Rhinolophus ferrumequinum: one gene and its partners. The protein of the gene in region 2 interacts with the protein of the main gene of each other region in a pairwise test. Links are inferred from orthologs where the notes say so. Each region holds a gene or a part of one and is shown on either strand. Other genes may lie near its edges.

Region 1 (8,015 bases), on a different chromosome or scaffold from region 2:
GTCCAACTTCACAATTTCCCCTGAGACTTTTCACCGTGGCTGCCTACTATACGTCGATTAAATGTGGTGCTTTGGAGCCATTGAAATGAAGGGATGTTTCTCACACGATCATCGGACATCTTAAATCCGGAGTTCTGTCTGACAGTACAGTTGACAAAAACTCTTTCCTTGACCAAACTCTGGTCAGGCTCCTTTGAGCCTTCTTCTCAACTAGGTTTCAACCTGGGCCAATAAAAACTACAGACTCAGCACATTTTTGTCCACTCACCCACCCACACACTTGACATTTGAACCAACACCAGGATAGTTTCTAACATCTCAAGGCCACATCCTTAGGATAACCCTCGCCCCCTTAAAATGCTAGCATGAGCAAGTTCAGTGCTGCCTGGAGAATTTACTGTTTGTTCCAGCCCAAACCTGGTTATAGGCAGTTAGGCCCCAGAACCCCTTCTTAGAGCAGTTACTTTAGAAAGCTTGCAATTATAAATCTTTTCTTGCTTCCTGTCTCTGAAATGCAAACATTCCCTCACTCCCAGCCCAGTGCTCTCTCCTGCACCACTGCTTCCTATCGTAAGGATGCAAGAAGTTTGTCTTCCAGGTAAATGCCAATTAACAAACCCAGATGGCCTAGTCACATGGACCACCCCTCTTAACACCCATCCATGCCTTTTCCTTAGCACATCGCAGCTTTTAAAAAGTCTATTTTTTGTTTTAGTGACATTTACTTCACACAGGGCCCTTTTCCCTATTGCTATTACTGAATAAAGTCGATTCTTACTGCTTTAACTATGTCTGGCTTTCTCTATCTTTGACTGTGTGTGTGTATGTGTGTGTGTGTTGATTCAGAAGAGGGGACAATTTCTGGTATAGTCATGTGCCACATGATGACGTTTCTGTCAGCAATGGACCACATATACGATGGTGGTCCCATAAGATTATAATGGAGCTGAAAAATTCCTATCACCTAGTGATGCTGTAGCCATCGTAAAGTCGTAGTGTAACACATTTCTCACGTGCTTATGGTGATGCTGGTGTAAACAAATCTAATATACTGCCAGTTGTATAAAAGTGTAGCGCATACAATTTTGTACAGTGAAACTTGGTAATGATAATAAATGACTTGCTGGCTTCTGTATTTACTATACTGTACGTTTTATTGTTATTTTGGATTGTACTCTATCTACTTGTAAAAGAAAAAGTTTGTTATGACAGTATGCCATGTTATGCCGACAGCAGCCTCATACTCATACATCTCTGGTTTACCGTGTCTCTTGCTTGAGACATCATTTTCTCTTGTGCTTGATTTAATCGTGTTTTTTTGTATAGTAACATTTGTTCAGGCGTGTAGCCAGGGAACAATAGGCCATACCATCCAGGTTGGTGTAAGTACACACTGATGTTCACACGACGAGGAAATCGCCTGAAGATACACTTCGCAGAACATATCCCTTCACTAAGTGCTGTGTAACTGTGGTCTAGTACTTCCACACCAGGGCAGCTTTAACCCCAACCTCGAACTGCATAGTGCTACCCCTATCTTCCTCCTTCTTTACCCCACTCCAAGCCCCTCCTCCCCTGCTCTCTGACTTGGTAGGGGCCTTAGTCCCCTTGCTGGCAGGTAAACTGGCTACATCTGGGTCACTTTTAGCTCCTCCTTTCTCTCCACACCTTCAGATTCTGTGTTCTCTCTGGAATCTCCTCGCCTTTCCATTCTTGAGGCAATTGCCCTAGGTCAGCACACATCATCTCTTGCTAAATGACTCTAATTACCGTTTAACTAATCGCCCCATCTCCAGTCTCTACAGAACTCTGAAGTGCTCCTTTTAAAACACTGAGCTGATCACCTCACTTTCCTTCTCCGAAATTTTCTTGACTTTCTATTGCCTACTGAATAAAGCTGAAACTCCTTAGCAGGCATTTGGGGGCTCCCATGATCTCACCTTCACCTCAATGTCTCCCACTGCGTCTTCCATGGAACTAGTCTTTAAACACAGGTGTATCTTCCTACTTCTAGGGTTATGCTCACATTCTTTTGTCATTCTAGGATAAATGACTCCCTTGTCCCCATTTCTGCCAAAGGTCAAAATTTTAAACGTCTTCAGGGCCTCATTCAAATAGCGTTTCCTTCAGGAGAATATTCCCAATAGTTTGAGTTGGAATTGTTTTCCTCCTTTGTACTTCTACCTCATATCATTTTTTGAATGTCAGGTTCATAATTCAGGTATAATTTATATACAGTTAGATTCACCCTTTAATTATTTTAAATATTTTATTTATTTATTTATTTATTTATTTATTTATTTATTTATTTATTTATTTATTAAGGAGGGCGCAGCTCACAGTGGCCCCTGCGGGGAACGAACCAGCAACCTTGGTATTATTAGCACCACGCTCTAACCAACAGAGCTACCAGCTGCCCCAGATTCACCCTTTTAGGTATATAGTTCTTTGAGTCCTGACAAGTATATACAATTGAGAAACTAACCATCACCACAGTGAAGATACAGATTACAGCTGATCCTTGAAAAACGCAGAGGTCAGGGGCGCTGACCTTCCGTGCAGTGGAAAATTCGTGTATAACTACTGTATTCCCATCAAACAAAAAAGTTCTCTTCTGGCTCTTTGTAGGTAATTCCCTCCTCCCACTCCTAGTTCCTGGCAATCACTGATCTGATTTCTGTCCCTATACACCTCATATTATTTTAACTTATTTTTGCATTTTCCCCTGTAGGCCTTGTTTGTGTGTACATCTTTCTCTCACTGGGCTGTAATCTTCTTGCAGAGAGCTGTAATTATTCACCTTTGTATTCCTCATGGTTCCAAGCACAAGTTCCAAACACATTTATTACATGCCAGGTCATAAATATTTGATAAAAAGAAAAGGGGGGGAAAAAAAGGAAAAAGAAAGAAGAAAAAAAGGAAGAAAAGAATGACCCAAAGAACAAATGGACAAACAGCCCTAGGAGAGTTCAACTAATAGGGCTCTTGCTAGTTTAATGAATCATTCTGAGTTACTAATCTGAACTATAAAAGTAGCTGCTTTTAAACACCTACACAAAATACACTGTCTGAATCAGAAAAACTGAGACTTTAAGTTGGCAAGGACATCTTAATGTAAATGACATGTAAGTTGCAGTAGGATGTAGGAAACAACTAGCCACCACTCCAAAGCTAAGCTGCATCTGATCTCCTTGCATATTACAACACTATAAGATATGAGGCATTCTGTCCTTGGTATACAGCAAGTACACTTAAAAGTTTCAGGAAAGTTAAGGGAAGAAGAAAGGTAATTAACATTTACCAGGTGCCCCCAGTCATTGTACTATATTGTATTTTTCTTACAACTACTCTCTCACTTAGGTTAGAAATTATTAGGAGGTATTTTTCATTGAGAAAGGAAATAGACAATTCAAGGAAATTTAGGGGTGTACCTCCAAGGAGAGGGGAAGGTTAAAAATTGTATTTTTGGCTCAGGATGAGTTCTTCAGAGATTTTCTGAGTTGTCCTTCCGTGAAATTACAATAAGCAGGTAAGGACAAGAGTTTCGGGTAATAAACACTTTGATGTTGATTCTTTCAGGATACTTCTGGTATGGTGACCATATTCAATTCAGGAGCCAATAATGAGGTGAAAGAATTCTAGTGTACTGTTTGATGAGGTTGTCAACTGAGGCACGTGGTGGAATTTAGGAGATAAGGAGTGTAGTTACTAGAAAATGGGTAGTAATAAGAACTGCCTTCTTTCCATCACTTGGTGTCATGGAAATTTAGTGATTTTGCAATCACTCTTGGGGGATACTTTTCCTGGTTCTTAGACAAGTTGGAAGATAAACTTTGAACAATGTATTATACTATGCCCTTTGTAATTAAATAACCCAAGATAATGTGTTAAAGTTTAGTGGAGATTGAAATTCCTGAGTTGATTAAAGAGAGTTGTTAAGAATAACTCTCATGTAAAAAAAAAAAGTGTTACTATTACTCCGTTTCTAGGTATTATATAGTGATGAACTGCAGGTTTATATAGCTTATTACTTTCCAATCTTGCAGAACAGCTCAGCATTCAACAACTAAAAATAACTACAATTCAACTTGAAGGCTGAGACCAGGGAACACCTTGAATGTTTGGTTGACTCTGGGCTGTGACCCGTTCACAGAATGTGGAGCCACTAAAAGTTGTGCGGTAGTGATGGAAGTGCAATTCCAGGAAGATAAATCTGGCTATGTGTGCAAATGGCCTGAAACAGAGAAGAGATAAAGGCAGTTAGTCCACTCCGAGGCTACTGCAGTATCTAAGCTGCGGAGATCAGAGAAAGGCTGAAAGGGAATGGTAAGAAATCAAAAAAGAAAATGGTAGTGCCTGCGGCCAGCACTGGAAGATGACCGGACTCAGTGGGGTTAGCTGAGTGAAGAAGAAAACTGAAAGAACGGTTTTGTGTTTTCGAGATCCGAAGTTTTCAGCAGGGACTCCCTGACTCCTCTTCCGTCCTTAGAGCGGACGTCCTGGGATCAGCCGAAAAGCTCAAGCCTCAAGCTGGTCAGGCCAGCAAAAGGCGCACGGGAGGCAGGACCACCCCGGAGTGTCCTCCAGCACCCCTTCCTTCCCCGCCTCCATATTCCGGCGTTTCTTCGGGTTCCGACCTCTCTCTCCTCGCCCATCCGAGTCCCCTGATCTCCCCAACCCCCATCCTCCATCTGCAGCCAGCACCGCCTCCAGCCCCTTTCCTCCCCCTCCCCCTTGGGGTGCTGACTCGCCCGGCTGCCACGTCTCACTGATGACATCACCAGGGCCGCTCGGCCTTAGCCAATCCGCTAGGGGGAGTCCGAGCGAAGTCCTAGCCAGCGAGTCAGCGGGAGGGGAACAGGGAGGGGCGGAGTAGGGCGGTGAGAGAGTGGGGAATGGGGAGGGCGACAACCCCTCAAGTACGCATGCACCAGAGGCGCGGGGCTTGGCGGGAAGTTGAGTCCTGGCCTCCGCTCCGCACCGTCAGTTCCCAGCGCTTACATGCGCTCTAGCAACTCTCTTTCCCGGCATGCCACGCGGTGCGTCCGCCCTCTGGGCTGTGTAAAGGCCCCTCGGTCTAAGGCTTCCCTATTTCCTGGTTCGTCGGCGGCCATTTTGGGTGGAAGCGATAGCTGAGTGGCGGCGGCTGCTGATTGTGTTCTAAGGGGACGGAATAGGGGAAGACGTTTGCTCTCCCGGAACAGCCTATCATTCCTCTCCTTCGATTACCCGTGGCGCGGAGAGTCAGGGCGGCGGCTGCAGCAGCAAGGGCGGCGGTGGCGGCGGCGGCAGCTGCAGTGACATGTCCAGCATGAATCCTGAATAGTAAGTGCAGGAGAACACCGGTCGGCTGGGTCCGTGGGCCAGCTTGGGAAAGCTTAAAGGGGGCGAGGAGGGCAGGGATGGGCCTCGGCCGGGGTGAGGTGAAGGTGATGGGGCAGGAGAGGCAGGCGGACGGGAGTCGGGCCCCATTATCTGACGAAGGAGGGGCGGCCTCGGGGAGGGGTCCGGCCGGAGGGATGAGCCAGCCGGGCCTGGACCAGGTCCGGGTGGAGGGCCTGAGGGCCGGGCTGATGCGGAGGCACAGTCTGCTGCGGGGGGTGGGGCGGTGGGAACGGGTAGCTTCTCCTGGAGGCAGTGACTTTTGAAGGAGGACTTGTTTTTAAGGGGAGACGATGGGGGGAGAGCTCTCCTAGAGGGCACTGTCAGACCCTGCGCCGGCCCCTACTCTGCGGAGCTGTCAGAATCGTCTGGGTGGAAACCAGCTTTACTTGTAAATCTTGAGCTTGTTGGCTCTCTCTCCTTCCACCCTCCCCGCCAGGTTGCAGGTAATATGGATGCTTTTCAGGACTGCGTGGGATTGAAGGGAAAGAGTAGATGGTGAGAAGTGATTTAAAATTTTTAGTTCTCTGTGTTAGTTATTTCCTGGAGTTCTTTTAAGAACTCGCCGGGCCCACTGCCTTCCTAAAAACCTGGGCATTTGGGAGAATTTTTTTTTTTTTAGAGGACACTAAAGTCATTTTGTTTTGTGTAGGTCAAGGAAAAACATGATTAAAAACGTAGGAACGTCTTTCTTGATATTACCAAATTAAAGAAAGCCTTTGCTGTCAGGTTGAAAGAGAAACGAATGGGCCCTATGATAGATCTGTAGGTTTTGTATTACCTACTTGAATGTTTGCAGATAGGGAATGAGGTTCCATGACGTGTCATGAAAAGTTAATGCATTTCTTTTTCTTGCTTACTCAAGAAGTCACCACAGCAGATGTGACACACCTGGCACTTTTCCTGGGAACTGGTGTTCACTTTCCTTGGGAAGACTTTGTTGGGCTCTCCTTAAGGGCCTAAAAAAAAAAATCCTCCAACAGTTTGCATATATAAATTAATGACTAATCAGAGGAGATTTAGTTGGTATTCCTCTTCCGTGTCAGAAGGCTTTGGAGGAGAGGGTGAAATTTTTTTAAAGCAAAAGTCAGGATTTATTCTAAAAGTTGAGTTTATTTGCTTGCTTTGGTCAATTACTGTTAAACATTTTCCCTAAAAGGGTCATCCATCAGTTTAGCTGACTGTCTCATGTGTGTGTCACATGGCTCTTGCAAAATGCATTCTGACTTCAAGTTTTGTAATACTGTGGTTTGATGCTGACATGTCCCCTTTTTGTATTAAACAGAAGCTATAGTTTTTGTTAAAATTTCATCAACTTTAAGTTGAGGATAGTGTTCTAATAGTGCCATTTGCTATGTTGGCAAATTAAAACTTTTTAATTTCTTTATGAAGGGCTCCAAGGACAAAATTGGTTTTGCTTAGTTGGACAGAGTTGAACTAGAAGTCCCTAATGGAGTAGTTTTCCTGGCAACAATAAAGTACATGAAATTGCCACTGTCTGAGGATTTGTAAACCACCTTTGTTAGGAAGTTTCTTATATTTGCTACATATATTTAGTACTGTAAATAGACCTTGAAAATTAGTTGAGCAGAACCGTGACATTATGTAGCCTCTGAAGTTGTTTCTCCTTTTGTAAAATAAGGTGATAGGAGTCATTATTCCTGTCAGGGTAGTTGTGAGGTTCAAGTGTGTGTGAAAGAATTTGGAAAACTGTAAGAACAGCCTAGGTGGTGTACATTCATTACATGTAAGATATTCTAGTAGTGCTAGGATTTAGGAATAATAATCCTTATCCTCCAGGAATTTATAATGGAATATGAAAAATAGATTGTGTGTGTGTTAAATACCAGTAGATACAGCAAGTTCCAGATGTGTGGCATGGTTTGGAGCAGTAAGATTTCAAAGGAGGGTAGTGGGTTGTGGTTGGCTAGCTGAGTTCAGGAAGGCTTTACAGAAAAACCTGTTAGGGAATTATTAGCAGTAGATTTGGAGAAGCAGAAGGGAATGAGGAACATTTTTCAAGGGGGAGGAAGGAAGAATGGTTAATAAGTGGCAAGTATTGTAATTCTTAAGTAAATAAATACAGTGCCAAATCATCCTTTCCTTTGAATACTCTAGATCAGGGGTGTCCAAACTGCGGCCCGCAGGCCAACTGTGGCCTGGGATCCATTTGTTAATTGGCCCGCAGCAAATACAAAAATATATTTAGTTTGCTTAAATAAACCAGGTGAGGCAATACGTACTTCACCTCGAGTGAGTGGCCCGGCTGTCTGTGTATTTTACCGCATTGGCCCTTGGTGAAAACAGTTGAAAAAAGTTTGCACACCCCTGCTCTAGATGAATGACCTCAACAGAATCAAACCCTGAAATCATGTTTACATTTTTTCTGTCATTGAATATGCCAGTACCTGGCCTACTATATATTTTATATTGTGTCTAGTAAAATAATATAAAAGTTCGGGAAAACTTTGGAAAAGTATTAGTGAAAATAACGAGGTTAGATAAAATTATGGATATTTTATTGGGGAAGGTCGCAAGAGCTACGAGCAAAAAGATTTTTAGCAATCTGACTTCAGCAGCTGCTTTTTTTCTTGAATGAAATTTGTTACCATCACAAAAGTAATTAGAGAAAA
Region 2 (7,467 bases):
CCTCAAAGTATCTCCTGTCCCCTCCCCGTCTCCTCCCCTGGCTAGCTTCTCTCCCCGCCCCCTGCCTCTGCCTTTCTCCTCTCTTTTCTGTGACTCTGTTCCTTTCCCTCTCCTCACCCCTACCTCCGAGTCCCCTCCCTGGGCTCTTTTTTACTCCCCATCGACCTCCCCCTACCCCGGCTGATGCCATCTCTGGTTCTGGACAATTATCAAATATATCAGTGGGGAGAGAGAAGCGGTGTGTGTGTTGTGCTTGCTTTCTGGGCCGGAGGTGTGGGTGGGGTGGTCTCCCTGTGCTGGTACATGGAGCTCGGGGATTTGCCCAACCAGGAATTTCGCCAGCACCAGCCTGGAAGTCTCGGGGTCATGAAATCATGGCGTTTTAGACCAAACCAAAGTTAGTTAAGAGTGAGAACAGCTTGAATTCACCAGGCGATAGGATCATGGGATCAGAAGAGAGGAGAGGAAGGGACTCAGACTCGTGATGCTCGCATATTGGAGGAGGAGAAGGAGCATGGGGGGGTGATGACAGTGCCGACCGTGATGATGGTGACAGTGGCGACTGAACCGTCCGTTCTGTGCCCTGCCCTCTTCTAAGCCCTCTGTGTGTATCAGCTCATGTAATCCTCACGGTTGGGAGGCACAGAGAGGGAAAGTGACTTGCTCAAATTCACACAGCTGAGAGGCGACAAATCTGGGATTTGTACCTGGCTGTCCAAGTTCTAAGTCACTGTGCAATTTTCTCTTTTTATTGAGATAAACTTTCATACCAGGAAGTGCACAAATCTCAAAGGCGTACCGTGTAACCACCACCCAGATCAATATAGAGCATTTCCATCCACCCAGAAGGTTCCCTTATGCCTCTTTCTAGTCAGCGCCACCCCCCCCAAAAGCCACAGCTGATCTGATGTGTGTCACCATCCTTTAGCTGTGCCTGTTCTTGGACTTTGTATAAATGAAAACTTACAGCATGTTGTCTCGTGTCTGACTTCTCGTTCTCAACATCGCGTTTGTGACAAACACCCATGTATGTAGCTGTCACATGTATGTAGCCCACTCATTTTCATTGCTGTGTGTGGCTATAACATAATTTCTTCATCCATTCTCCCGTTGATAGACATTTCACTTGTTTGCACTTTGGGGGCTATTACAATTGGTGCTGCTCGGAATAGGAACATTCTAGTAATGACAGATGTATGCATCTCTGTTGGATACATGCCTAGGAGTGGGGTTGCTGGTTTTGGGATGGACTATGTTTAACAGAAATAGCTAGACCCTTTCCAAAGATGCTGTATCCTTCTGCATTCCCACACTGCATGAAAGAAAGTTCCAGTTGCTCCACTTCCTTATCAACATTCAATATTGTCAGACTTTTGAATTTTAGCCATTCTGGTTGGGTAGCTACACCACTTCCCTTGAGGCAGCCTTGTTAATACAGCCCAGAGGTGAGAGTCAGGAGGGGCTGGGGCTGGCATCCCGAGAGCTCACAAGTGTGGGTGAGTGTGTACACACGTCCACTGCACAAGACAATGGCTGGAGGAGGAGTGCCTGAACCTGAGGGGGCAGTTAGTCAAAGGGCAGGGGCATGTGTGCCAGGCACTACTCATGATGCCCAGGACACAGCCTGCCTGGTCCTGGTAGGGGTTATGTGAGCCTGGACCTCTTCAAGGGAGGCCTCAGAAACTATTCATAGGGTACAGGGTAAGAAATGCTCCCATAGACAAGTGGGCAATCAGTGGCCCAGAGAAGGCAGGGACTTCCTTGAGGTCACACAGCAAGGATATAACCCAGGTTTCTGGTTGTCTATGCTAGGGTCTTCTTCTCCTCCCAGCTCTTCTTCCTCTGGTGATCCAAGAGATAGGAAGGAGGCCTCAGGCTGGAGGGACTACAGGGCCGGGGCCCATCTCTCATAGTTTTCTCCGGTACCCCCTTACCTCCCATCTTCCCCCTGGTTCAGGCCCACCTGTCACAGGTCCCCTCTCTCACGGACCCCATCTCCCACCAGCCTCTTGTCTGAGGGATCCTCCCATATCTCACAATATCTCTACCTTAGGGCCCCTTCTTCCACAATCCCTGTTTCAAGGGCTTCTCTCCCACATTGTCTGTGGGACAAGGCCCCAACTCTCCAAATCCCCTGATTTAAAGTTCCCTCCATACTCCACTCAGGGGGCCCCTCCCACAATGTCCTTGCCTCTGGACCCCACCATCCATGGCCCATGCTGTTCGACACCTCCAGACCTTTGCCCATTATGTCCTCTGCTCAGAGCAAGTACTGGTGGGGTATGGAGTACAACCATTTTCACTGAGTTCCTATAAGGAAATCCAATAGCTCTCATAACAAAAATCAAACCCAACTTTCCCAAGGTTGGCCATGGGAGGAAGCAGCTGGACCTGTGCCTTCAACTCTCTGCTCCCCAAGATTCATCTTCTTCTTGGGGGCTCTTTCACTGGTGACCTCTGAACTCAGGTGCTGCTCCCCCATTAATGCTCTGAGCTAAGTGTGCACTCGCCATCCGCCATTTATTTCCTGAAGCCAAGCTGGACCCAAGTGGGAAACCTGAACAAGACTATTAAAAGTCTGTGTCTGACAAACGGGAAATAAACAGTAATGAGCCAACTGATCTTCAAAGTGTAGTTCATTCAGCTTCAGCTTGGGACTTCCCAAGGGTCCTCCCTGCTTATTGCTCCACCAGCCCTTTTAGCAGGGGCCACCTACCCCACCTCCTGGGAATGTCGCAGGCCTCAAAGCCCAAATCTAAAAGGGATGTGAACCTTGGAAGACAAAAACTGGGGTTAAGGGTTGCCTGGATATCCCATGTGGGACTTCTTCTTCAGCCCAACCCAGCCTTGGAAAATTAGGCCCTCGGTCCATGAAAGGGAGCACAGGCTTCCCAACACTGCCACACACATTCTTGAGGATTTTCTGTGCACCCCTTTAGAATGCCAGTCATTTTCCTGCAACTCGGTGGCAAGGGCAGGGGCAAAGACGGAAAAACCAGTGCTGTGGGAACTAGGGAAAAGAAAGGCCCCGGCCTGAGATGCCAGCCACTCTGGGGCATTCCCTGATACAGGCCAACAGCCCCTAATACATTACTGTTAAACTCGAGAAGGCTGAACTCTGAAATAGTCGTAACATTCATGATAATATAGTAGCAATAACACCCACTCCCATTTATCGAGCAGTTGCAAAGTATCGAGACTCTTTCAAGCACTTTACTGGGACCATGTAACTGAATCGTCCTAACACCTCGAGTGTGGTACCATCAGGATCCTCACTGTCTAGATGAAGACACTGAGGTTCAGGGAGGTGACAAGGTCAACACAGCCTGGATTTTCATTAAAAAATTCTCTTTTAAATGTCCTCAACCCTTTTCCTTTCCCAACTTCCCTTCTTCCCATCCAAGGGGAAGGGGAAGGGTGTCTCTAGGTTTCTAGTCCTAAACCATTTATCCCTGAGAGCCCAAGGATTGAGCAGGGAGCTTTGCAGCAACCATGGCCCTCTCGCTAGCCTGTCTCTTGAGGAAGGAATAGATTCCCACGAATTCTCTAGAGTCTCACTATTCAAAATATGGTCCATACACCAGCAGCAGCAGCATCACCTAGGTACTTATTAAAAATGCCTATCTAGGGGCCGGCCCGGTGGCTCAGGCAGTTAGAGCTCCATGCTCCTAACTCCGAAGGCTGCCGGTTGTATTCCCACATGGGCCAGTGGGCTCTCAACCACAAGGTTGCTGGTTCAACTCCTGGAGTCCCGCAAGGGATGGTGGGCTCCACCCCCTGCAACTAGGATTGAACACAGCACCTTTAGCTGAGCTGCCGCTGAGCTCCCGGATGGCTCAGTTGTTTGGAGCGCGTCCTCTCAACCACAAGGTTGCAGGTTCAACTTCTACAGGGGATGGTGGGCTGCGCCCCCTGCAACTAGCAATGGCAACTGGACCTGGAGCTGAGCTGCGTCCTCCACAAGTAAGACTGAAAGGACAACAACTTGACTTGGATAAAGTCCTGGAAGTACACACTGTTCCCCAATAAAGTCCTATTCCCCTTCTCCAATTAAAAAAAATGCCTATCCATAAATGGGCCCCACCCCATATCTGCTAAATCAGAATTTTTATCTAGTGTTTTATCAAGCTCTCCAGGTGTTTCTTATGCCCTCTAGAGCCCGAAGGACAGCTCTACACGGTCCCCATTGTACACTGCACAAGAGAGAATACCTAACACTTGCTTTCGCCTTTAGAGCTCCTATAAAGCCCACTCGTGACAACCCACCTTCCGCGACGCCACACGCCCGGCTACTGAAACTACAACTCCCACAATACCCAGAGGCGCTCATTGTCGCTTTATGTGACTACATTTCCCGAATGTGTTTTGCTAGCCAGACCACCATCATGGCGCCCACCCTTCCCGACAGCATCAGGACTACAACTCCCACAGTGCTCCGCGACAGAACTCCCGCCCCCCACGGCTTCCGAAAGGCGCCACGTCCGCTGAGCTGGTTGCGGCCCAGCTCTTGCGGGTCCCGAGGGGTCTGAGGGGCTCAGGGCTCGTTACAGCTGTTCTACCCCTCACGACGCAGACATGGCGGCGGAGAAGGACCAACAGAAGGATGCCGAGGCGGAAGGGCTGAGCGCCACGTAAGCAAGCCTACTCTAGCTCCCAGGACTGAGACCCGGCAGTTCTGGTCCTCTGCCCCCTTCTCCCTCGGGTCCCAGGAATCTGGATCCCCAGAGACTAGAGTCTAGGCCCCTGGCTTCCTCTTCGAGGACTCTGGAGCCTGGGCCCTCGGCCCCCTCTTCCCCTGGGATCCAGGAGCCTCAGACCCTTACCCCTCCCTCCCCCGTCCCCCCCATCCTGCACACCCGCAGAACCCCGGGGTTTGGGTTCCTGCATCCCCGCTCTTGCTGGAGGCCCCGCCTCGGTCTTGATCTACCGCTGACCTGGCCCCGCCCACCAGGACCCTGCTGCCGAAACTGATCCCATCCGGCGCGGGCCGTGAGTGGCTGGAGCGGCACCGCGCGACCATCCGGCCCTGGGGCACCTTCGTGGACCAGCGGCGCTTCTCGAGGCCCCGCAACCTGGGCGAGCTGTGTCAGCGCCTTGTACGCAACGTGGAGTACTACCAGAGCAACTATGTGTTCGTGTTCCTGGGCCTCATCCTGTACTGCGTGTGAGTGCCGCCTCTCCGCCCGCCCCCGCCCCAACCAAGTGGCACTGGTCGGCCCCGCCCTCAGCGGCCAGCCCCTTCTCTCCCTGGCCAGGCACCGTCCCCATGGGATAGCTCTGCCAGACTCCCCGAAGGGCCAGGTCTCCCCCATCAGCTTGAGCAGGACCCAGTGTGACCAAATGTCACCTGAACTTGCCTGGTCTCAAGGACATACATAGCCTGTCATCCGCCGGTGTAGAAGTTCAGGGTCTGTCCCCCTGGCAGTGCCAGCCGCAGCTGCCTGACGAATGCTTCCCTGCCCTCTTCCAGGATGACGTCCCCCATGCTGCTGGTGGCTCTGGCCGTCTTCTTTGGTGCCTGTTACATCCTCTATCTGCGCACGTTGCAGTCGAAGTTTGTGCTCTTTGGTGAGAAATCCCCTGCCCAGATGCATCCGTGATCCTTCAAATTCTGGTCTCTTGGAACAAAAGCCTTACATCCCACACCTAAGTCTTCCTAAACCCCCAAACTTGGTCCCTTAAAATCTCACATGCGCCAGATAATGCCACCCAGCCTCAGCCACCCAAATTGCTATTCCCCAAACCTAGAATGAGAGCCCCCGGGGCTCATTCTCCTCCTGGATGCTGTCCCTTAAATCTACTCCTCCCCTCTCTCCCTGACTTGTACAGAAAGCGTCAGCTGCAGGTATCCATAGTAGACAGCAGGTGGCGATCTTACACTGGCCCAGATCTGTCCCACGCCTCTGTCCTGCTTCCTGGGTGGGACCAGAAAGATCTTGGGACTTCTCACAGAGGGAAGCTGAGGCCTGTGGCCCATATGGTCCCAGACTGGCACCAAACATTCCCCACCTAGAGCAAGCTCAATGTTTGGAGTGAGGACAGGGAGGAATTGGGATCAGATAAGCAGGTAGTCCTGATACAGTCCTTCAACGGCCTGCAAGTTACGTACATGACAGAGATAGGCTGGTGGACAGGCCTGGTGGGCAAGCACAGGGCATGGAGGGAGCTCCTCAAGCACAGTCACTACCTGGCTTCAGCCGCTGCAGCCCCCTCGGGCCTGCAGACCCAATTTTACTCTGCCACAAGAAACCAGAAATCTATTGTTAGGTGAAATCATTCAGTTTCTCTGTTAGCCACTAATCACATTCTTGGGGAATATTGTACAGACTTAAAAAAAAACTTCCACAGGTCAGACTTGGCCTTGGGCCACCAGTCTGAGACTCCTGGCGGACCGTGGGGACATTGGAGAAATGGGTGGGGCCAGGACTTGGAGGACCTTGGCATGAGTTTGGATGATCCTAAAGCTCCCAAAAGCTTGTGACATCAGACTGTTGGGGGCATCCGGGATTACTCTGGGAGAGGACACACGTGTCAACAACTGCCCCACGCTGTCTGCCCCCAGGCCGAGAGGTGAGCCCTGCCCATCAGTATGCGCTTGCTGGGTCCGTCTCCTTTCCCTTCTTCTGGCTGGCTGGTGCAGGTTCTGCTGTCTTCTGGGTCCTGGGTGAGTACAGGGGCTGGGTAGCGGGGGTGGGTGGTGGGGGCCAGGTGAGGGAGCAAGGCCCTGAACTGTCCATTTTCTTGCAGGAGCCACCCTCGTGGTCATTGGCTCCCATGCCGCCTTCCACCAGATCGAGGCCGTGGACGGGGAAGAGCTGCAGATGGAGCCGGTGTGAGGTGTCCAGCCTCCCGAGCCAGCTGCCCCATCCCTGTTCACCCCTGTCCCGCACGGCTCTGCTGCTCCAACCAACAGCCCTCTTCCCATCACAAGTCCAGGGAGGGAACCAGCTTTGGAAATAAAGCTGTTGTAGTTGTCATTCAGCACATAAGCTCCCAGGATCTGTGGGTCTGTGCGGGGTAATGCTGGGGTACTGGAACAGAGGGGGACACACGGTGAGGGGAAGACAGTAACTAAATAACTAAAATAGGATGGCAATGGTGGTGAGTGCCAAGGAGGAGAAAAGAGTTGTGGAAGGAAACTGTGCCAGGGGTCCCCAGGGCCAGCCCCCTGTTTGATGATTTGCTAAGAGGACTCAGTATACAGTTGGACTCATAGCTGTGTTTTATTATGAAAGGATACAAAGCAGAATCAGCAAGAGAAAAAGGTACATCGGAAATCAAGAGGAAGTCAGGCATGAGCATTCCAGAGTCCTCTCCCAGCAGTCACATAGGACGTGCTTACGTCCTCCAGCAGTGAGTTGTGACAACGTGTGAAATGTCTGCCAGGGAAGCTCATTAGAGATTCAGTGCCCAGGCTTTTTATTGGGGGTTAGCCGCAAAAGTACCCTCCATCTACTTTGGCTCAAA
Region 3 (7,325 bases), on a different chromosome or scaffold from region 2:
CTCAAGTCCTGGGTAGGAGGGGTGAAGCCAGGTCAGAGGTGTCAGCGCTGGTGCCACCTTGCCAGTCCTCTGCCAGGCTGGGGCATCAGCCAGGGCATAGAGAGGGGAGCACATGAGGGGGTTCAGGGCCAAAGGGAGACAGCAGGACCCTGGGAGGAAGGGTGCCCAGGATAACGATGTGACTCCATGAGCAACCTTGGACAAGGCACTGTCTACTCTAAGCCTCAGTTTCCCCTTCTATAAAATGGGATAACAATGGCCCAGGGGCCATAATAGTGCATGAGTAACCACTGACCAGGACTGAGAGGTCATCCAGCTTGAAGATGTCATCGGGAACTCCAGAATTCTTCAGGCAGTTGGCTCGAGCCACAATGGCCTGGGGAAAAACTGTGTGAGTGCGTGATTCCTGGCTTCCGCCCCCAGGAGAAGCAGAGGGATCAGGGAGGGACATCTCCTTAGGAAGCTCACTGGAGGCCAGGCCTCAATGCTCTCCCATCCTAGTCTTTACACATAGTTCCTCCACCTGGTGAGCTCTTCCTAGCCTCCCTATGAGCTCCTGTTCACACCTCAAAGCCCAGATCAAATGTGCCCCACAGCCCAGCACAGGGTCCTCAGGGAACCTTTTCCGATTGAACAATCTCTCCTCAATTCCAGAGGGCAAGATGGGGATGTAGCTCTGAATCAGGTCTTCTAGAACAGAGAGGGTTGGCCCACAGGGAAATGAGAGTATGGGCTGAGCACGACTGTTTCCTCTCCTCTTAGAGCTGAAACCTCCTCATGCTACAGACCTCTAGAAAGTTCAAGGGGGAGAGAAGACAGGTTGGGTAATGGTGCCGGGATGGCAAATAACAGCAGGGTTCAGGGCAGCCGCTGCCTCTCCTTTGGCCCTAACGTCTGTGGTGCCACGCTGCTTCACAGCGGTCCCCCACTGAACCCTCCCCAGAAAGTAGAAGGGACTTGTCTGAGGTCATGCAGCCAGGAAGTGGCAGAGCTGGTGTGAACTCAGGCAGCCTGAATCCAGAGGCTGTGCCCTTAACATCTCAGGGCTCCAGCCATGGACAGGACGACCTTTGCTGAGGCCAGAAGGGTCTGGCCGAGAGCCGGGTGTTCTGGGATGTCAGAGGCTCTGTGAAAAGCAGAAGGGTGAGCAGGCACCCTGACTACCTCCCCTCCCGGCTAAACCCCATCCTACACCAGCTCTGCCAATGTGTGGCTGTGTGACCTCCGGCAAGTGACCTGCCTCTGCGGCCAAGTGTCCTCATCTGTGAAATTGGGAGAAGTCAGGATTGTAAGAAAAAACCCACGTGGAAATAGTCGGAGCAGTGCTTAGCCACTATTAGTTGTTGTTATTGTAGTTGTCCAAAAAGGGTGGGATTTTGGATTTTTTTACGTTTTGCCCCATGGGTTACTTAACACAGGGCATCATTATATCCTCTCCCCTTTAGGGACAGGCCCCTGGGCCTGACACAGGGATAGGCAGAGGTGCTAGTCCAGCTTGGGTCTGGCTCTGTCCTCACACCTCTGGCTGGACTCGAATCCCCACCTCCAAGCATGGTGGCCTCCAGCAGCACTCACCCGAAGCGATGGCAGACTGGACAGCTCCCCATGAAGCGTGGTCAGGTGGTTGTGGCTCACAGACAAGTGCTCCTGGGCCAGGACAAGGGAGCAGAGGCTCAGCGGAGGCCCCATCTGCCACCACAGTCTTGCACCATCCGGGGTGGCCCTCAGCCACACATGGCGCAGTCCACCCGTGCAGCCTCCCTCCCTCTCTGCCAGCTCTACTCGTGGTTATCAGCATCTTCCTCCGCGGCTTTCTGCACAGGCTCCGCCCACCTGGCCCAGCCCCACCCACAGGGACCCACCCTGCCTGCTGAAAGCCCCTTACCAGTTTCTGCAGAGCAGCCAATTCCTCTGGCAGGTAGCAGAGGCCAGTGCGGTTCAGCTTCAGCCATCGCAGACTGGTCATGGCCTTGACATTCTCAGGGAAGTAGCCTCCCTGGGGGGTATGCCATGGTGAGGCTGGTCTGGGACAGGAACGTCCCTGCTCTACCACCCTCTATCGTCCCCAACTGCCCATGGAAGCCTTTGGGGAGCAACAGAGCCAACTCTCACCAGCTGTGTGACCCTGGACAAATCATTTTGCCACTCTGTGCCTCCATTTCCTCATCCATAAAATAGGGCTAATAAAAGCCCTCTGAGGACAAAAGTGTTGTGAGGACCAAGTAGTTATCAGCATGGCTGTTGGCCTAAGATCTGTCTCTCTTGCTGGATTCTGAGTCCCAGGAGGGTCGGGATGAAACTGGCTTGTTCCAGGTAACACCTCCAGTGTCCAGCTGTGTGGCTCACATGCCTTTGCCCAGCATTCCAGGCTCTGCCTGGGCCACCAGAAGTGAGGGTACCCCCTGAGGCTGTGCCAAGGTCCCACCTGTGCCCCCACCCTGCCATCAGCATACAAGCCGTTTATGGCAAGGCCCAACCCCCGGTGCAAGGCCCCAGCTCCCCACCCTGCACAGGCACTGCCTTGTTCATTTGTTTACCCATTCATTCCCCACATTCAAATGCCCACCCCAGTACCCCCAGCCCTTGTGGCAGGGAGCCTGGGATAGCATGTGCCTTTAGTGCCCTTGGCTGTGTCCCCTTCCCCCTATAGCCACGTTCCCCGCCAGTGACTCAGACTCCGCGTCTGAAGAGGACACAAGGAGACCCCAGGTGAGATTAGTGCGAATGGAGGCATTGAAAGTGGTGTGGCCACCGGTGCATGGGGTCAAAGGTGTGTGCACATGTGGGTAAGTGCAGGAAGAACCAGCCTCCCCTCAGTCCTGGCCCCACGACCCCAGCCGAAGCCTGGGCTCCCTTACGCTAAACTGACTCGGGCCTGAGTCTGCCCACTCACCCACCCTGCAGCAGGGGCTGCCCCTCTTGGTACTACTCCAGGCAGCTCTCACCTCCACTCTTGCCCTGACTCCTCTGGTCACCGGCACTGCTCACCTCATCCTTGCCTCTAGAGCCACCTCGCCCACTAACTGGCTGGAAGGCTGGGCTCAGGCTCCTTGTGGCCCTGGTCTTGTCAGTCCATAAGCTGCTCAAACAACGGCTACCCAGGGCCTCGCACAAATGTCTGACACACTCTCCACACCAACTAATCCATGCTTCCAAGAGGACTACTTTTAAGCCCCTTTACTGGATGAGAAGACCGAGGCTGTGAGACAGGAAGTGATTTGCCCAAGACCACACAGGACGGGTATGGCGGTGGCAGGGACAAAGCAGTGGCCGTGAAGAGTTCCAGACCCGCCCGGGGACAGCCCAACAACCTGCAGCGCGACAGTGAGTCAGGGCCTGGCTTGGGCGTGTGACCTCAGCGGGACGGGGAAGGGGGGCTGGGGAGGTGGGAGCAGAGCTCAACGACCCCGCTCCACTCTCCGGCCCCGGCGGGGCCCAGATGCCAGGACGATGACACGGGGTGGGGGCTCTCAGCCCATCCCTAGCGTGACTCCGAACCCAAGCGTCCACGCCGGCCCGACCCGGCCTCGGTCTTCCCGTAAGGGCACCGAAAGGAGATCTTGGGGATCCGTTCCGGGCGGGGAACCCGAGCCCCGGGAGAGCCCCACCCGGCCCCGCCCGCAGTCCCGAGCGGTACTGGGCCCGGGGGCGGACGGGACAGGAAGCAGAGACCGGTGCGGGCTGGAGCGGAAGAGACGGCCTAGAGCGGGGCCCGGCCCGCCGCCGGGTCGCCTCACCTTGAAGTCGTTGCCGCTGAGGTCCACACCGCGCACGAACGGCAGCACTCCAGTGGCCTCCATGGCGCTGCTCTTGCTGCCGGGCCGGGCCAGACGCTGGGGGCGGCTGGGAGAGCCGCGGGCTGGGCCAGCGCCGACCCCGCCCCTTTAACTCGCCCCCGCCCGGGCCGGCGGGAAGGCGGAGTCAGGCCCCACCCCTCTAGCCCCGGCCCCCTCCCCTGGCGTCTTTAGGCCTCCCCGGGCCTCAGTTTCCCTGTCTGTCCGAGTACTGGAGGGACCTCGAGGAGTCCGGGCGTCCCGGTGCTCCCCGCAGGTGGCTTCATAACCTCCAGGCTAAGTCCGTGAGCCCCAGGGCCGGGGCTGTGTCACGGGCGCTGTCCGCTGCACTGCAGCCGCAACTGAAGTTGGCTGTGGCCGGGGAGGTTCTGGACCCAGGTCGGGGGGCGCAGAAGGCCCGGGAGTCTCTGTTCACCCCCTGGGCCCTGTGTGGCTACCAGCGGTAGTGGGACGCAGAGGCCCTAGCGTCCCGGAGCTGTGGGCAAGCCCAGACCTCCTCCTGGCCTGTTTCTCCTCATCTGTGAAGTGCTTCCTAAGGTTGTCGCCAGAAACAAATGAACAAACGCAGCTGCAGCTCACGGCATACAGAAAGCACTCGGTAAGTGGCGCGTTATTTCTGCTTAGAGTCAGCAGCCCCTCACGTCCATTCATTTGCTTGCTCGCTCCCCTTGACCCGCACATAGTCGCTCCCCAATAAACAAATGAACCACAGGTCATATGCACAACCATCCTTCGCAAGGGTGGAGGGGGCCTGGCGTTTCCATTTCACGGGAGAGAAAACTGAGGCTCGGGTGGAGAAGTGGCCGGCACAAGGTCACACGGAGCTGGTGGCAGGGGTAGTTCTGGGTCACGCTGTGTGCCCCGCAGGCCAACAGATAATAACGAGGCCACCAAGGCACTCTCGCAGAAGTGACCTAAAGGGTCAGACCTGCGCGCCTCTGGGCCAAGTGCCGACTGTCTGCCCTGCCCCTAGAAGGAACGGGGGCGCTGATAATTTTCTCCAAACCAGAAGCTCATATTACAATCACACACACGTCACAAGGGGCCCGGAAGGCCAGCCAGCTCATTCCGCAACCCCCGGCTGTGCCACCACACCGCTGGGCGGGAGGCTCGGAACACAACTCTGCGCCTTTAAATCCGGGATGCGTCAGAAAGTCCCACCTCCGCAGAGCGCGGAACGCGGTTAGGGGGCGTGGCCTGGTCACCATTGGCTGAACCGCATAGTATTTTGGAACGAGGGAGCGGGCCTTGAGCACTCCGATTGGGGCTAGGACCTGCTCGTCTGCTTGCGTTCCGGGGTCAGCGACCGCCCCCGGAGCCTTAGCGTTCGGTTCCCAGGTCCTTCCCATTCCATTCCCGGGCGGGTCGGGGTCCGGGGCCCAAGAAGACCCGCTACCTCCGACAGTTGGTGCGCTGAAGCAGCGACGCAGGTACGGCCCGAGCGGGGCGGCCCGGGTCACCCAGCCCCGGCGTGGAGAGTCGGGGGCGGGGCCACCGCTGCGGCCGGCGGTCACCGCCAGAGAAGGAGGGAATGGCTTTGGGCCCTCAGGCTGGAGTTCGAATCCCGTTTCGGGTACATCACTTAGTTTCTCAGGGCCTCGGTGAGGTCCCCTGTGAGCCGGGCCTTGACAGGTCTTCAGGGGCTGCTCCGCGGCCCGCTCAGCCCCCGTCCTGGGTTTGGCGGAGGAGGGGAGGACAAGCGGCATCCCAGGGCTCTACCCCGCCAGGCTGCGCAGTCAGGTTATTTTTAACCCCCGCGCCCTCCTCCCTTTCCTCGAGTGGGCAGGCTGCGTGTTGGGGCCTGCGCGACCCTGCCAGGGTTTGGGCTGAGTCCTAGCTTAGACAGGTGTGGGGTATTGAAAGCACTTTACTGTTTGCAAAGTGGCTTCCCCGTCCCTCTGGAGGCAGGTGGCCATACCGGTCACCTGTGAGAGAACTGACTGCTGTGCTGTAGTGGGCACCCTGCCAGCCTTTCACCAACCCAGGCCCCGGAGCCGGTTTTTATTTTTAGTCTGGGCGAATGGGGGGGCGGGGCGGGTGTTGTCCTGGCATCTCGTAACCTGGCAACAGCCCTAAGTGCCCACAGCCCCAGGCAGGGAGGGTGGAAGTCCTTGGTGCCCTAGCCGGCTCCGAGCTCAGGGTCATCTGCTCAGGTGTCCTCAGTGAGCCAGTGCTGCCTGGTGTCTGACTGGTCGGTCCCCTGAGCGTCCCTCTTGATCACACACTCTCAGCTCCCAGGGCCTGACGGCAGGAGTCCCCCTAGAGGAACCTGCCGCTGGGGCGTGGTGGATGGGGCCGTGGGAGAGGTCTCTGCCTCTGCCTCCCGAGTGCCTGACCCACCCAGCCCCACTGTTCTGGGCTCCTCTCCCTAACCCTGTCTGTGCCACTTTACAGGTGAGCAGATAGCTGAGGCTTCCGGCGCTCAGCTTACCTTCTCTGTTCTTTGGGCTCCGTGCAGCTGAGGGCAGCTCCCCACCTCCCCATTGTCCCAAGCCCAAGAGGCCAAGAGAGGTCCCTGGCCCCTGGGCCCGTCCTCTGCTTGGAGTCTTCGTGTTTACTTTGCCCTCTGTCCCCGCAGCGGGGCCTTTGGCTTTGACCAGCACATGTCCATTGACAGGCAGCTCGTGCGCGCTCCTCCCCCCACAGCCTGGGCCATCTCACTGGATAGCTCTGCCTCTGGCGGCTACCTTGTCAAGATTTGGGGGTGACTGGCCTCACTGAGGTCTGAGACGCGCTCCAGGGCAGGCTGTCTGGGACCCCACGTTGTGGTTTCTCTGGGCCTTGTTTCCTCCTGCTGTGCCAGGGGTGAGGAAGCAGGGTGAGGCAGCCTCTAGGACCTGACCGCAGACGGGGTCTGATGGGACTCGGGGGGTGGGCAAGAGTCTGGAGGCTTGGCGGTCGTGGATCCAAGAACCCACTACTTACGTATGGTTCAGCAGCCCGTTTCTCTGTAAAATTGGGGTGATGGTAAGACCTTCCTCATGAGTCTTTGGTGACATCAGGAGTCCTGGGTGGGAGGGTCAGGGAGATGGGCCCCCTTCTCTGACCTATCCAGGGCCTTTCTGTGTGAGCCCCCCTGTCCAGGGGGTGGGTGGGTTGTTGACAGGTTTGGGGAAGGGGGCTCAGGCAGTTCCCCATCTCCTCACAAGAAACCCCTTGAGTGGCCCCTTTCTTCTGAAACTCGGGAATCCACCTTGTGGGCTTGACTCAGAGACCCCAGCGTGATGGCAGCCAGAGTGCCTACCCACACCTGCCGCACTGCCAGCCTGGCTGCCCCCACACTCAGTGGTCCCTGCACCCTGGCTCTCTTACAGGCAGACAGACATGGTACTGTTCTTCCAGAAGCGGGGGAAGCGGCATGACGACGACGTGCTGGGCAATGCTGTGGACTTCCTCCTGGCCAATGCCCGCCTGGTGCTGGGCGTGGGCGGGGCTGCCGTGCTGGGTATTGCCACCCTGGCTGTGAAGCGGGTAAGGCCTGGGGCTCACAGGGGAGGATGCCAGGGCCGGGGCCTGCCCAGGACTGGCACC

The links.
Region 1: the proteins of RABAC1 (region 2) and RAB1A interact in a two-hybrid assay, tested with the Homo sapiens proteins (2 studies listed by BioGRID and IntAct). The link is inferred for Rhinolophus ferrumequinum from reciprocal best matches to the Homo sapiens genes RABAC1 and RAB1A.
Region 3: the proteins of RABAC1 (region 2) and MIEF2 interact in binary tests that used the Homo sapiens proteins (3 or more experiments, as listed by UniProt). The two-hybrid records come from large-scale screens. The link is inferred for Rhinolophus ferrumequinum from reciprocal best matches to the Homo sapiens genes RABAC1 and MIEF2.

Annotation. Positions count from the first base shown.
Region 1 is NC_046296.1:24,938,372-24,946,386, forward strand, and holds the start of RAB1A (ras-related protein Rab-1A), read left to right. Parts: upstream 1-4,921; 5' UTR 4,922-5,302; coding exon 5,303-5,325; intron 5,326-8,015. UniProt on the Homo sapiens protein: The small GTPases Rab are key regulators of intracellular membrane trafficking, from the formation of transport vesicles to their fusion with membranes.
Region 2 is NC_046298.1:39,928,420-39,935,886, reverse strand, and holds RABAC1 (prenylated Rab acceptor protein 1), read left to right. Parts: upstream 1-4,439; 5' UTR 4,440-4,575; coding exon 4,576-4,631; intron 4,632-4,951; coding exon 4,952-5,164; intron 5,165-5,470; coding exon 5,471-5,568; intron 5,569-6,562; coding exon 6,563-6,664; intron 6,665-6,747; coding exon 6,748-6,836; 3' UTR 6,837-6,989; downstream 6,990-7,467. UniProt on the Homo sapiens protein: General Rab protein regulator required for vesicle formation from the Golgi complex. May control vesicle docking and fusion by mediating the action of Rab GTPases to the SNARE complexes.
Region 3 is NC_046304.1:608,610-615,934, reverse strand, and holds the start of MIEF2 (mitochondrial dynamics protein MID49), read left to right. Parts: upstream 1-4,231; 5' UTR 4,232-4,348; coding exon 4,349-4,392; intron 4,393-5,098; exon of another isoform or gene 5,099-5,224; intron 5,225-7,108; coding exon 7,109-7,265; intron 7,266-7,325. Other genes in the region: FLII (protein flightless-1 homolog), read right to left, coding at 1-8, 296-376, 1,576-1,647, 1,886-1,996, 3,738-3,800. UniProt on the Homo sapiens protein: Mitochondrial outer membrane protein involved in the regulation of mitochondrial organization.